2 linked regions of the Lytechinus pictus genome follow. The protein of the gene in region 1 interacts with the protein of each later gene in a pairwise test. Links are inferred from orthologs where the notes say so. Each region holds a gene or a part of one and is shown in the gene's direction. Other genes may lie near its edges.

Region 1 (7,390 bases):
GTTTAACGAATAGGTGTTTTTTTTTATTTTTTTTTAAATAAGATGACATAGGGAGACAGTGAGTATTTGAAGATAGTGAATATTCATAAACAATGTAATTTGTAATACAATCACTTTAGTTTTACTTTATTAGTCTTTTTTTCAATAGTCTAATAAAGTCCCATCCGAATCCCTTAAACTCTATGTTGGTATCATCCATTGTAAGCACTTTGAAAGAGTACGATTCTGGAACAATCTTTGATATCGATAACGATCAATTCATTTTTACGTTGTATTTTTTGTTAAAGGCAATTTTTAGTTTCATCCCTGGGCGATGGGATCTGAAACTTTACTACCAAATAGTATTTAATTGTGTTTTAATATTGAAATCAAAGTCTTTAGGCATATTTCATGAAATTAGTCATATTATGCAGATTATTTGCAGATAGTGAATTGATGACATGCTCACAATGTTTCCGACGTCTTTGTTAAAAAAAAATAATTATTTATCATAACTGCTTGCATGAGCATTATTCTTTCAGATCGGAGATAAGAATGTTACTTATATAAGCATTATAGACCTATCTGGCTGTGAACCATGATTATCTATGAAGAAACAAAGAAGTTTTTTCTTTTTCTTATGTAATCCCCCCCCCCCTCTCCCTACTTTTCTTTCTTTCTTTTTATCTCTCTCCCCCTCTATCTCAGTATGTCTCTCCATCCCTCAATCTTTCTCTTTCTCTCTTGTCTTTCTCTTTCTCTGAACTCTCAACACATCATGGCGTCGCATCACCTGTTGCCACTCCGCTTCCTGCTGTTGCCATTGCCATGGTAACGATGACTTGCTCCATTCCTCGTTTCCAAGCCCTTGTATGTCGCAGTTTAAAAAAAAAGGAGCAGATCTATCGCTTCGTTCTAACCAAAAGCGACAGAAAATACCGGCCTGTTTTGAGATGATCGCTCAATGACCCACGAATACAATAGCCGCACCCCGTCCATTGTGTTCTTCCCGATAAAACCGGGTATTTAAAAATGTCTCCTCCACACCTGACTAGCCACCGATCAAAGAAATGAGCAGCGCTGTCTTTCAAAGATGCTGAAGGGATGTACAATAGTATTCTCCTCGGATATAGAGACGAGGAGGAGGGGTGGTGGAAAGGGCTAGTTATCTTCGGGGGCTATTATAATGGAGAAGTTAATTAAAGAACGCTGGTGTGTATAGAGCATGAGTTCTCTTAACACACAGCTGAAGACGACAGACTTTGATGTGCGTTGTGGTTGAAGACATGACATGAGAAAAGACATTAAATCAGCAAGATTAATGGAAGGGTTATCTAAACTTCTATGCCAATGACAAAACTATCCACCACCAGCATTAGAATCAGTTTCAGTAATAATCAAAATTGGACAAAACACCGTGATTATCATAGATGATGAGTCCGGTAGACAAATATCAGGAGCTGAGAAATTATAGTCTGTATCCCACTCCTGACACCAAAAATGTAGTCAACGATCAAGTTTAATTCAGCTGAAGAAATTACTGTGTGGTTTTCATTGCCTTCAGTTATTTTTAAAGGAATGTGAAAGGGACATGCCTATAATGCCATAATACCGGAAACACGTTGATATTGATCTAAAGGGGTCCGTGCACGTTCAGTATAACCAACAAAAATGAACAAAAAAAATCATGAAATTAATATAAATAAAGAAAAGTTGCTTAAATCATGGGGGGGGGGGGGGGTAAACATGAAAAGCAAACGAGGGGGAAAAAACTATAAGACCTAGTGGCAGATCCAGGAATCCGAAATACCCGTGTCCCATCCCTGTGGGGAAGTGTGCATATTTGAAAAACGACTCCGAAAATGAGCATAAAAATGGAGCCCTTTCTTTGGTTTTTAAAGGAGTATGACGGGAGTGAAACACACGCATGTATATATTTTATTTAGCTTGCCCAAAAAAGAAAATTATATACGGGAACATGCTCCTTATAAAGTTGATAACTTTCCCACGGTTATTTTTTTTTTTTTTGGGGGGGGGGCTTGTCGCAGAATTAAAAAAAAGACGGTTCCACGTATACCATTGATCAGTCCATCATCTGTCGCTGATGAGACCAGCATAATTATAACATAGCTCAAAACCTACGCATGAGTGCCCACACATTATTTTTTTAATATGTGACAAGCTACCCCAAAACCAACAAAAGGTCGCCAGAGAAGGTTCTCTGTATTAGCCAGAATAGTAATTTGGTCTTTATAAAAACAAAAATTGAAAGAAAAAAACACAGCTTATCTCAAAGAGTAATTCTTCTTCTGTATAATGCCAAAATGTCAAGTTGTATAGAGTTGAATATAAAACAAGGTACAAGAGTTTCTGTGGCACAAGTTTTTTGGGGAATGCTTGGAAATTTCACTCAGATTGCAGTGGGCCCTGAACTTCTAAGTTATTTTTGAAGCTCTCGCCTTGTTTCTTCTCCATACGATCAAGTATAATAGTGTGGGTTGTTGTTGACCAATTTTGACAAGTTAGTTATAAAGCTTATTGCTTATTTTCATCTCATAAAAAATAAAAACTAATTTTGGGCGACTTTGGTTTAATAAACACGATAAATACATTTCAATTTTTCTTCGTTATAAAACAATTTGGTTTGATTTTGTTGTCTATAAACATGTGGAATTGCGTTTTGTAACCCATATGACGTAATATGATATTTTATCAATATTTTCCTTATGTCATATCAATAAAATAAAAACAATTACAAAAGTAAATAAACGGTGTGTGATGTTCTTTCAATAATAATTGATGCATATCTGACCGTGTTGTCTTCTTTAATGTAACTGCTTTGAGAAAATAAGGTAAACTTGAAAATGGTATATCTACAGCCGCTTTTTAAGAAATTTTAGTCAACTTGTTGTGTTCAAGGTGGTGGTTGACTTGAACTTCAGCATAATATGACAACGATATGATTTGTTTTATAATTTCCTAGGTTCACTGTTTTATATAACATTCTATTTCAAAATTCATAATGCCCCTTGTACATCCATTTGTATTTACCGAATGACACTTAGAGGGTGCATACTTTTCTGTATCTTCTCCTCCCGCGGATTTTATATAATTTACAGCTTTTCCCGGTTTTCATAAATAAATAAATCGCACAATTCACTTGTCATTCTCACTCTGATTCCATTTTAAAAAATGAAGGAAAAAATGAAATGAAATTTTTCTTTATATAACTTTTTAAAAATCGCTGAAAGTATATACATTTGGAGGTTTTTCATAAAAAAAAATTTAGATGAATTTTTTAAATTATTAAATAAAATAAATCATCATTTTGGTACCGAGAAATTCAGTGACAAGCAACAACAAAAAGTTCACTATAAAATGAAGGTAATTTGGGGTTGCTAGGTCCTTTACTTTTTTTTTTACCTGGCAGCCCCAGCCCCCCCCCCCCCCCCTTCCGTTGGTCCGCCACTGGGAATCGTCGAACCGCATTTCAGGACAGGGACTCACTCGACCGTAAACTGCTATTGTTGTATTTTGGTATTTATATGTTTCACTATAGGTAATTAACAACAAAATATATTTAAAATTCGATACCATTATTAATCATAACGTCTCATCCTAGATCTATTTTAGCTCAATACTGCTGATTCTCCATAAAACAATATTGTCTACGCGATCAAATTCACATTTTCTCTTCATTTTGAATCAAGAAAATAAAGAAAGGATTTGATAATTTTGGCGGGATGTTGCAATCCATGATCCCCATCGATCGAAATTAACATTCTCATGCGGCAGTCACATAATCAAGACTAATACCAAACCAACCGATACCCGTACATTGAATAACGTAATAGGCTCGTAGCTCTGATCGTTCTGGAGTCGGTTTCGTTGTTGTGACTGTGCGGGATTATCTTCGAGATGACCTCAAACAGGCTAAAACAAAAGGTGAGAGAGTTTAGAAACCATCGGAGAGGGCATCGAGTAAACGACCAGATAATTGGTAGATGGGTCTGTTAGGATGCGATAGCAATCACCTCTCCTCCACATGTTATAACCCAAAACAAAGGAAGTTGAGAAAGAGGAGGATCACCGAGGTAAAAGAGCAACCGGAAGTCACGCACCTACCTCTATTGTTTATGGATATCACAAACTTCCTGCATCATTTCTATGCATCACAGAATGATTGTACGTACGAGTTCAGAATGCGAGATTTTATAGAAGGAAATTAATCTCTCCTGTATTGACTCAATATCATTCAAAGAGAGTTCTTCCATGGATCCTACTAGAAGTTCCATGCTGTACTATTCTGACCCCCCCCCCCCTTATGGCCATGCATGATGTAACACATTACGACATACTGTAACAAGTAAAGTCATCATTACAACAAACGTTTTCTGCATAAGATCGCATACATCCCATGGGATGTGTTAAAAAATTGTCTCTCTGAAATTTTGTCAAGACCAAGTCTGGGGATCGGGCTTTCCAGAAAGCTGCACCATAGCAGCACAGTGGAATTCTCTCCCGCCAATTTTACGAAATATTACCCAACTTGAGCAAAAAACCCACCTCCTTCGCTTCAGAGATAAAGTAAGTTATATGTTCAAAGTATGTTTGATATTCTTTGATGTTTATAATTACTGGCGGTTCCAGGAAGGGGGGCACAGCCGGCCCATGCCCCCCCCCCTTGAGAGACACAATTTAAAATTTGTAATGTAAAAATGCCGTTAAAACAGAAGTGTGGCCCCCTTTTGAAAGCGAAGACCTTTTTTTTTTGCTTGTCAATTTTTTCGTGGACGAAATCCCCTTATTTTTTTAGTTAAAACCCCCCTTTTAGGGGGGGGGGCTTGTCAAAATTTTCCTCCCTTTTCGAAAACTCCTGGATCCGATTGTTATATTCAGCTTTTCCTGAGAGACCCTTAGGTGCTATACGCGTCCATCCCAGAAGAACTGTTATTATCATAAGATGTGGAATTATTTTTGAGAAAAAAAAATCCTAAACGTGAAAACTTGTAAACGTTTGCCATAATTTCCATTGTAGAATAAAAGGTTTAATCATTCAATTTCTTGCAGTTAAATCGGTACAATCGATCGGTATGTATATAGCTGTAACCAAAGCTACGCCTACGACCGTTTACCAGTTTGATTATACCCCTGAGAATGAGCATGTTTTATAATAATCTCAACTATTTTACGATATTTGGATACTATACATTTTTTATTGGTCGATGAAACTATTAAACGACGTGAAATGTTTAGCTCTTACATCTCTTCCCTATGATAACATCCGTTGTATTGACCTCATCATGTTTTGTCATCTCCGTTTCTATACCACGTTCTTTATCCACTTTTACGTAAATATGCACGGTACTTATGCATGATCATTGCTCGAATTATGATGAACATTTTTTAACAACATGTAAACAGGCATGTAAACTCCCTCAGAAATAATATGTCCATTTATACAGCGCAGTTACTATGTGCATATACTCAACTGCGCTTTGATACATGGTATCATACCCCGGCTGTAGCTGAGCCGCCATATTAATAAAGCATTCAATGAAAAATCTTACCGGATACTCATTCACCTCACCTGGGTCGAGTGCAGCACAATGTGGATAAAGTTCTTGACAAAGGAAATTACGCCATGGCTGGTATTCGAACCCACGACCCTCTGTTTCGAAGTCCGGAGACTAATCCACTGCATGGGCCTAAATGCTCCACAATATAAATACACAATATTGATCATGCCTCAGAGGTATAGTGGCGCTACAAGGGGGCAAAGTAATTAATAAAACACTCATGTCTACTAATTATTCTGAGGAAAGGATTGACTGCCCTCGATCTTTCAAATAAAAAAAAAATCTGTGAAGTGGGGGGGGGGGGGGGTGAGAAAACATGGAAACGTGTGTCTTGGTCATTATTTTGAGAAAACAAATCAAACTTACATACAACTCCCGTGGCATGCTTACAGAATGATGAAAAATGAATTGTTTTAATCATAACTTGGACAAAAACTTAATTTTATTTTTGTTATCCTCCATGGGAAGTTTTTTTTTTTTTTTTTTCGTAGTGAAAATTCTGCAAATTATCAATGGCAAAGAAAACCAAAATACGGTACCACAAGAATAGCTTCAATATTTCTATTTATTCGACCTTATCCACCCTTGGCCTATTAAATCCTTATGTGGGCTAAAAATGGCTGGCCGAAATGGATCGTAATGCTCTAATAATCAACTGTTATAGACCGGTCTGGGACGGCCTCGTGTTGTTAATTAATACAATAATGGTGATGACCGTCTCCAAAATCATCATCACCACCACCACCACCACCACCTCCACCACCTCCACCACCTCCACCACCACCACCACCACCATCATCATCATCATCACCATAAAAATCATAATTGTATTACTACGATGGCAATTATACAGTAATGTTTGTCCTTGCACGCGGTCATTGAATTGAATTGTTTTTCATAATTGCTTGGCGGATGCAAATAACAAGACCGGTGGATTTTTAACCGAGTGGTTTGGGATCTCAAAAAGGAGGAAGGTTTTTTGATAGAGCTGAGAAGATACTGGTCCTTGAAAATGTGTCCTCCCTACACCACACCGTTATTAATATATTTGCCTACTTTTAGCCTATCACGGACGAGTCCCTGTGCAGAGCGAAGAGAGAGGGCGCCTGTATAGTATTTCATATACAGGGACACTAATTTCATTACGACCGTATCATCACGATTGCTGGACCTACACCCCGTTTTATTTATTTATTTTTTTAATTTTTACAATTTTGATCTGCTAAGTTTCGAACTTTATTTTACATCCGAATCAATAATTTCCCCCATTTATTTTGAATCATTTTTAATCGCTGGTACCACAATCTTTAGTTTGCAATTTACTTCTAACTCGGAACACACTACGGAACAAGTTCCGGGAACAAGTTCCGGGAACAAGTTCAATCACAGTTTCCTCTTCGCTTTTAATTCGCTTTTATGAATGAAATAAAATAGAGAAAACTCCGAATGAAAAAGAAAAACAAAGTTTCTTATGCTTATTGTTAAAATTCATATTCTGTATAGCTATTTTCCTAATACAATAGGCCTACTTTTCTACATTACATTTTTGGAAAACTTTCATTTATCTGAGCATGCAGACGATAACAATAATCTGCATTAATTTTATTGTTTCAGGCTGGAAAATTCCCAAATCTGCTGCCGAATCGTATGTATTTATAAAGTTTACAAACTGCATGTCTTATTAACTTTATTTTGTGGGACTTCTCCTTCATCATGTGTGTTAAAAACATATGAGTGGCCGTTTCAAGAAAATCAACATTTTGACGTACGTAGGCCTATACCAATTATAATTGTAATACAGTGACAGATACCAAGTGGAAGTTGAACTATGT
Region 2 (7,217 bases), about 18 Mb from region 1:
ATAGGTATCTGACAAATCAAATTTTACGAGCGCGCAGTGCGAGCAGAAAATGTTAATATTCAGACCATAAAACTTAAATTTTTTTACAGAGCACTTTTTTAAAATCAATTTGTAAATCAAACAAAATAATGAAAGTTCGATTTCCGAGCTGAAATATGTTTAATACATGTATATAGACTTCAAAATTTGATATTTGAAGCTCCATATTGAGCAAGATATGTAAATCACCTAAAAGGCAATGCGAGTGCGAAAATTTTATATAGTGACATGAAAGATCTTTTATTATTATTTTCTTCCCCTCGTTTTATTTCATTCACTCGTCTTCCCCCTTTTATGTTTACCCTTCTTTTTTCTCCTCTCTTTTCCCTTCTCTTTCTTTTTTTTTCTTTCTTTCCTCCTTTTTTCTATTTTTGCTCCGCCAATAGGGGGGGGGGGGCGGGCCCATCGCCCCCCCTGGATCCGCCTATGCATGAGTAGGCTGCACACTCAGACCCTTAACTCGAGTGAAGGATTTGCACAGCAGGCTCGGGTCCCGTCTTACAAAGAGTTGCGATTGATCAAATCACTCTCAAGCAGGGGCCGCGGAAACGGGGGGGGGGGGGCTGGGGGGCTTTAGCCCCCCCCCCAACTTTTTTCAAAAACTGTGTACAAAATCGAAAAAATGACCAAAAGATTTTGATTTTTTGCATGGTCAGCCCCCCCCCCCCACTTTTAGCTCATTCCGCGGCCCCTGTCAAGTATATGGAAATCCTCCAACGTCATAATTTTTTCTTCAGGATTTGCTCAATGTCTTTTGAAAACAAAGAGAAGCATACCGCATTGTCAAGAAAAAACAGTGAATGTATGAATTTACATCATTTCTAGAAAATATTTTGAACAAAACTTGTATTTTAGATGTTGATCGTTGCTGGCTTTCCATAGTTACGATTGATCGGATCAATCGCAAGTCTGTGTAGGACAGCAGACTAGGGTTTAGGTACGGCGCGTACCCGGAAACTGTTCGACCGCAAATTATTGGGTGATGATGACAAAGCTAGGCCGCATCCCCACGAGGCCTCGATCGATCGAGGCCTCGTGGGGATGGTGGAATGGACACACTCCACCTGTTTTATTTTTTATCTTGCTTTTCTCTCATATCATTTCAGATTCTTATGAATTTCAATCTGTATTATATAGAGACAAGTTATATGTTCTTTATAATCACTATAGGCCTACATCATTATTAAATAATGGTCCAGTGGTTAGAGCATTGGAATCATAATCGCAAGGTTGTGAGTTCTAATCCCCACTTTGCCATCGTCTCCACTTTGATAAAAAAGCCCGAGAGTAATATGTGTCGTCTATAAGATCAGCCATTATGACTGATTAACCTTGACGTAAAGTGATTATATACCTACCACCTTGGCGTATATCAGCAAAATGCTGTCCTGCCGAGTTCCTACGGGAGTAAAACAAAAAATAATAATTTCTTCCTCGATGAACGTTGTACACATGTATAAATCTGTGACAATACTTCAGTTATTGTATAATTTGCTTATGAAACTTATACATATTTGATTTGATATACATGTATATATATATATATATTGATATATATATACATATGCCCATAAATATAATTACAATCCGCTTTTATATAACGCTTTACATCGGAACGAAGAGCTTTACATTACCCCTGTCCGTCGCGCATGCCATAGACCTATAACTTTCTCCACTCCCTGTGGAGCATTCTAACAAAAGGTCTTGCTAGGCATACTACATGATATAGGCTTTCGCATCCTATACCGGGTACCCAACACATGCGTATTAAATTATATAGGCCTATTATGTTATTTTCATCAATTTTCCTTCTTTTGGGGGGGACAAAAATAGTGCCCTTTTTAAAAGAGGAATTATGTGCCCTCACATTTTCAACCTGTTTGTTTTTCATTTTTTGCCTTTGTTTAATAAAAGGAATTGAGTGCACACATAATGACCAAAATGATTGATGTTATCCCATTTATTTAAATATTCCAGGTATACTGACCTAATAGAGACATTTTAAAGACTGTGGCATTAAACAGATATGTATCCCACTGATGAAATAACGCTAGCGCGAAGCGCGAGCTGAAAATTTTTGATATTCAGACCTAAACAAGGGGCATCAAAAGCAAAATTTTGTAATCATGATACGTAGGAGCCTACCTATCTCACTAAACAAACAATGCGAACGCGAAGCACGAGCTGAGATTTTTGTATTTATTGACCTCACACAAAAACATTTTTAAGACTATTTTTTAAAGGATTTCATGAAGTTCGTCATCTAATGCGAGCGCCAAGCGCTTGCTGATTTTTTTTAAAAAGAATTACACCTATACACATGAATCACTTTTTCGAGCGCGAAGCGCCAGCCGAAAATTTGAATTTCAGACCAGAATAGGGGCATTCTAAGGCTTTTTTGTAAGAATTCATTAAGACCTTATGTATTTAACTAAGAAAATAATGCGAGCGCGAAGCGCGAGCTGAAATTTTTTATATTCAGACCTAAAAAGGGCACTTTAAAGACTGTTTTTAGGAATTCATGAAGAGCAAATTTATATCACCAATCTACTAATGCGAACGTAAGTACGGACTGGAAATGTTTTATATTCAGACCTTAAAAGGGGCAATCACTTAAAGTAGGCCTACTCGTGAAAAGAAGCATATTTCACTATATAGAATAATAAAAATTCGAAGTGCGAGGAAATGAAATGTGTATATTGACTTGAAAACGGAAAGTTTAGTACCATATAATTCCCTTTAACATGATTTTATTTTTCAATCTCATTAAACAGACAAAGCGAGCACCAGGAGTGATTGACACATAGGGTCTAAGCAAATTCTTTTCATAAAGTAATGAAAAAAAATTAATAAGTAATATAATATATCATAGTAAATATACAATAATTTATTATTTCCACAATAGGTTTCTCTTTCTTTCTCCCTCTTTTTCTCCTTTTCCCTCGTTTTTTTTGTGTGTGTGTGGGGGGGGGGGGCGAGGGCAGCCGATTGGGGGCACGTGCCCCAATCCCCCGTAGTTACGTCACTGCTGAGTGATAGCTCATTGCACTTTGTTTAAGCCCGTCACTCCAATAATATTTAAACGTTTCAAACAACTTTTAAACATCTGTTTTTATCTTTTAAACAATTGTTTAAAAAGCTTAAACAATTACAAAAAAATTAAACAATTTGTTGTTAGAGTGACAGGCTTAAACAATGTGTTATCTTATTACTGTGAAAATAGAAATACACCCATGACCAATGTCCCTTTCCATCTCAAGTAGATATTAAAAAATTGAGACGATAAAATGATTTTGTGTTGATGAGCATGTGGCACTCTATCAAACTACAATGGGATTAAATATGCATTATTCATAACAAAATGAAGATTTTTGCAATATTTTTAAATATTTCAGATATGTTTTAACTATGGGCTACTGTTCTCAATCTTGTAGTTCAGTTAGTTTGGGATCATTGCTACATGAATCAATTAGAATTAAATTAAGTAATCTGCTCCAAACCAAATTCAATTCCAGTGACCCCGTCCCCCCGCTTCCGCCGCCTATGCCTCTTTCTCCAAACGGGGGCTACCCGGCCCCGGGGCTATAGGGGGCTATATAGTATAGGCTTTGATGTACCATGCAGCCACTCTCTACATGTAATGTGTAGAGTAGTGTCCCTTCTTATCTTTTCCACGAGAAAAATGCAAACTTAGGTTTTGCGATTCAGCAAAAATGCCATTTTGCTCAAAGGGATGCCAAAAAGACGACATCCAATTCTGAATACAAGTCAAGTACGAAAAGGGGTGAGGTAACTTTTAACAGGCTAGAGCTCCTGTGAAGATATAGACTTTAATATGCCAGAATAACATTTTCAACAAATATGTCTCCTCAATAATCATTTGCATATCAATAAAAATAAAAGCTGCTTTACTAAAATATGCATTAGATCCATTACATCTACTACATTTTGCATCATATAAGTGCATGCCCCTTCTCATACTTGCTTGCTAGTCTGTAAAGACCAAACACAACCCGTGACTATAGTGCCCACAATGCAATTTACGAATAAAGTAATTGTTCGCTGGTTCCGGGTTGTACTTTGAAAACGTGTACACACGAGTTCGTAAACTCTTGATCGGGTGTGTTATATACGTACGGTACGTATTATGCAGCGCAGCGAAATGTATATCAGTCAATTCTGTGTAGTGTTAGATCTATGGCCGACGTGTACTAACTTTGATCACCGGTGACGGGATAGGCGTTTTATCTTGCGAAGTTCTGCTTGGTCGTAATATTTTTCTTTATCTTCATCACCATAATCTTCTTGCCCTATCGCTCCAACAGTTAGACGAATATCACAGCAATGTCGAAGCCAGATCAACTCCTAACGATCAAACCACCCACGGAACTCCGTTTCCGAGGTAAGAAAATAATACTTTTTTTCATCCCTGTTCATTATCCATCAATCATACCGGTACCGTACTCATAGTCATACATTGGGTGATTTTAAGATTAGGTGATTTCAAGTTCGGTGTCCGATGTTGTTGGTGTTGTCTGTCATGTCTGTTGAGAGCATAAAAAGGCTGCTGAACCGAGCTCCAACACCGAGCTGGGTTCAGAGCACTCACACGTATTGCGAGGTTTTTAACCTCGCACTACCATGACTACGATTACGAACATGACGAACGTGTTTACGCAATGGATTTTAGAGTTGTCGGTTAACATCGCTTCATAACGGGAATAATGTTGTTAGTTAGCCGAAACTCATTCCGCTACTCACCAGGGCTTTTTCTGGTGAAAAACATTCCATTTTCATTTATTTTTACAAACATTTTTCTATATAAAACCACATGAAAAAGAGCAAAATTGCTTACCTCGGCCCGGCCTGAAAAGTTGCTTCGCATGTCTCTTCCACGGAAATAAAAAGAAGGTCGTCGTTGGCGCTAAGTAATAGTACAATTCACAACCTTAATTCAGCTTGTCTGTATTTTTCAAACGAGATTCTTGATTCATTGTATGCGCAATTCCCATGATTGTTTGATAAATCATAAAGACAACAATAAATGCAATAACTTAAAAAACATACTTTTTGTATTAATTTTGCTGACGATAATACATTTTGGAAAACATTCAAAGCGATGACAAATTAAGCAAAAATAGAAAATTCTACGTACCTTGAACTAAGCCTGCAGTGCTACCGTTCATTTGTCAATAAACGTTCCACCAAAGTCTAATTACAGTAAAAAGACTGGACACTTTGCCGACGTCCGACTTCGCGTAACGCTTTGCATCGAGTTACGTGTAAAATAGTTTTTGTGCCTAGTCTTTCCCTTGTAGTGTCTTTGATATGAAGATAAATCAGTCCCAACACCAGCCGGATTTCAAGTACGGTGTTGTAGCTGGTGTTGGTGTTAAGTCACAACACCATACTTGAAATCACCCACTGTAGGTCTATGACTGGACACTGACAATCTGACATTACTATTTTCAACATGTTCTCAAAATGGGAACCAGCGTGTCGTGTAGATATCTCTTCCGGGGGGGGGGGGGGGGGGGGCAGACAAATATATTGCTGTACACATGCATGACCAAAAAACGCATTTAAACTATTAAAGGTTTTTTTTGCAGTTTTGGACTGAATTAAACTGAATTCATTTTAACAACACAGTAGACAGAATAGACAGACTTGGTCCTGATTCAAAGCCACAAATTTTAAACTCAAATGCTAAGGAAACCAAATAGGGGAGAAACTTGTGAGCAAGCATCGACTCTGACCACATCGTCGCCTGAGAAGCATAGTGACGTTAACTCAAAAATTTCGTCCCCAGGTCGATTTTTTGTTTTACATATCATCTTTTAGAGTTTTTCTTACTCTTTCGTTTGGTCTAATCGAGAAATCACGAATTCAAATATTTATCAAGATATCTATCAAAAACATATTGACGTTAACTCTTTTTCGCACAATTCCTGAGAAGCATACTGACGTTAACTCGTATTATGTTTGTGCGCATCATGTCCTGCGCATATTTTACACTACGCGCACTGACGTCACAAACAGTGCTACGCTATGCACACTGACGTCACAATGGATGAACATGCGATTACTAGTAATCAGCTATAGGTATCAGCTGATTTTTCACATGTTTTGCAATCTAACTGCAGATCCGTTCTAGCTAATTAACTGAAAATAATCCACAAAACAATGCTTTTAAATGCAATTTCTGAATACTTTACTCTAATCTTAAGTGCTGTATAGCATGACAAATATGACATCGTATTCGAATAAATGGTGGAGTGGTTTGGAATATTTCCCACATTGATACAAATGCCAAATTCATTTGAATGCGCAGTAATTTTTTTGAGAAGTTTCAACTCGGTAGAAATAAAAGCTCAATAGCAAAATATCAAGCTCATAAACCCATATCAATTTTTGCATAATATATTAAATATTCCGCTGCTGAAGAAAAGTCTGCAAAATTTGGTGTAAATGACATAAATTTCATTCTAATTGTGGAATGCCCTTAATAGTTCCCGCACGCCCCCAATTGAAATGCACACATAGTTACTTACAAAAAACAACAACTATAAATTGGTATATTTTGTCGATTTTTCTATGATCATAATTGATCAGTCAAGAATTACCCAGTAAGAATTTGTGGTAGTTAATGCATACGACAATAATTTGAACAGATTTCAGCCAAGAATATGTCTAGATCTACGTTAGGATCTAGGTTGGTCTAACTTATAGTCTATATTCATTCTAAAGTCAAAGAGACGATATAATAAAGTTATATAGTATGTCTAGTCAATTAGATCATTGTTTAAATATTGAATTCATTGCCAAATACAGTTAGGCCTAAATTTCAAGGCCCAACTTAGGCTACTAATAAGCTCTCTGCACCCAACCTGTCTGGTGAGTTCATGTAACAGCCAACACACAATACAAATAAAAAAGATCTTTCAATTATCACTTTTATATAAAAAAAAAGTACTCAGTTCCATTCATTTATGCTTTGTTTTCATAATAAACATGGGGATCTTTTTTAAGTAAAAGTCCAAGTTATCTGTGGAAAGAAAATTTTATTAGAGTACTATAGCCCCAGGTTTTCACTCCTGACCTTGACTTGTAAGGCAACATTCACAAGAATAAATCATGATCATATACATAAACTTGATATTAAAACAACAACAAATGTA

The links. The genes of interacting proteins can lie anywhere in the genome.
Region 2: the proteins of phosphatidylinositol-3-phosphatase SAC1-B-like (region 1) and vesicle-associated membrane protein-associated protein A-like interact in a two-hybrid assay, tested with the Drosophila melanogaster proteins (2 studies listed by BioGRID). The link is inferred for Lytechinus pictus from reciprocal best matches to the Drosophila melanogaster genes Sac1 and Vap33.

What each region holds. Positions count from the first base shown.
Region 1 is NC_087246.1:55,294,973-55,302,362, forward strand, and holds the start of phosphatidylinositol-3-phosphatase SAC1-B-like, read left to right. Parts: upstream 1-4,375; 5' UTR 4,376-4,566; intron 4,567-7,390. UniProt on the Drosophila melanogaster protein: Phosphoinositide phosphatase which catalyzes the hydrolysis of phosphatidylinositol 3-phosphate (PtdIns(3)P) and phosphatidylinositol 4-phosphate (PtdIns(4)P). Has low activity towards phosphatidylinositol-3,5-bisphosphate (PtdIns(3,5)P2).
Region 2 is NC_087246.1:37,607,337-37,614,553, reverse strand, and holds the start of vesicle-associated membrane protein-associated protein A-like, read left to right. Parts: upstream 1-4,214; 5' UTR 4,215-4,383; coding exon 4,384-4,441; intron 4,442-7,217.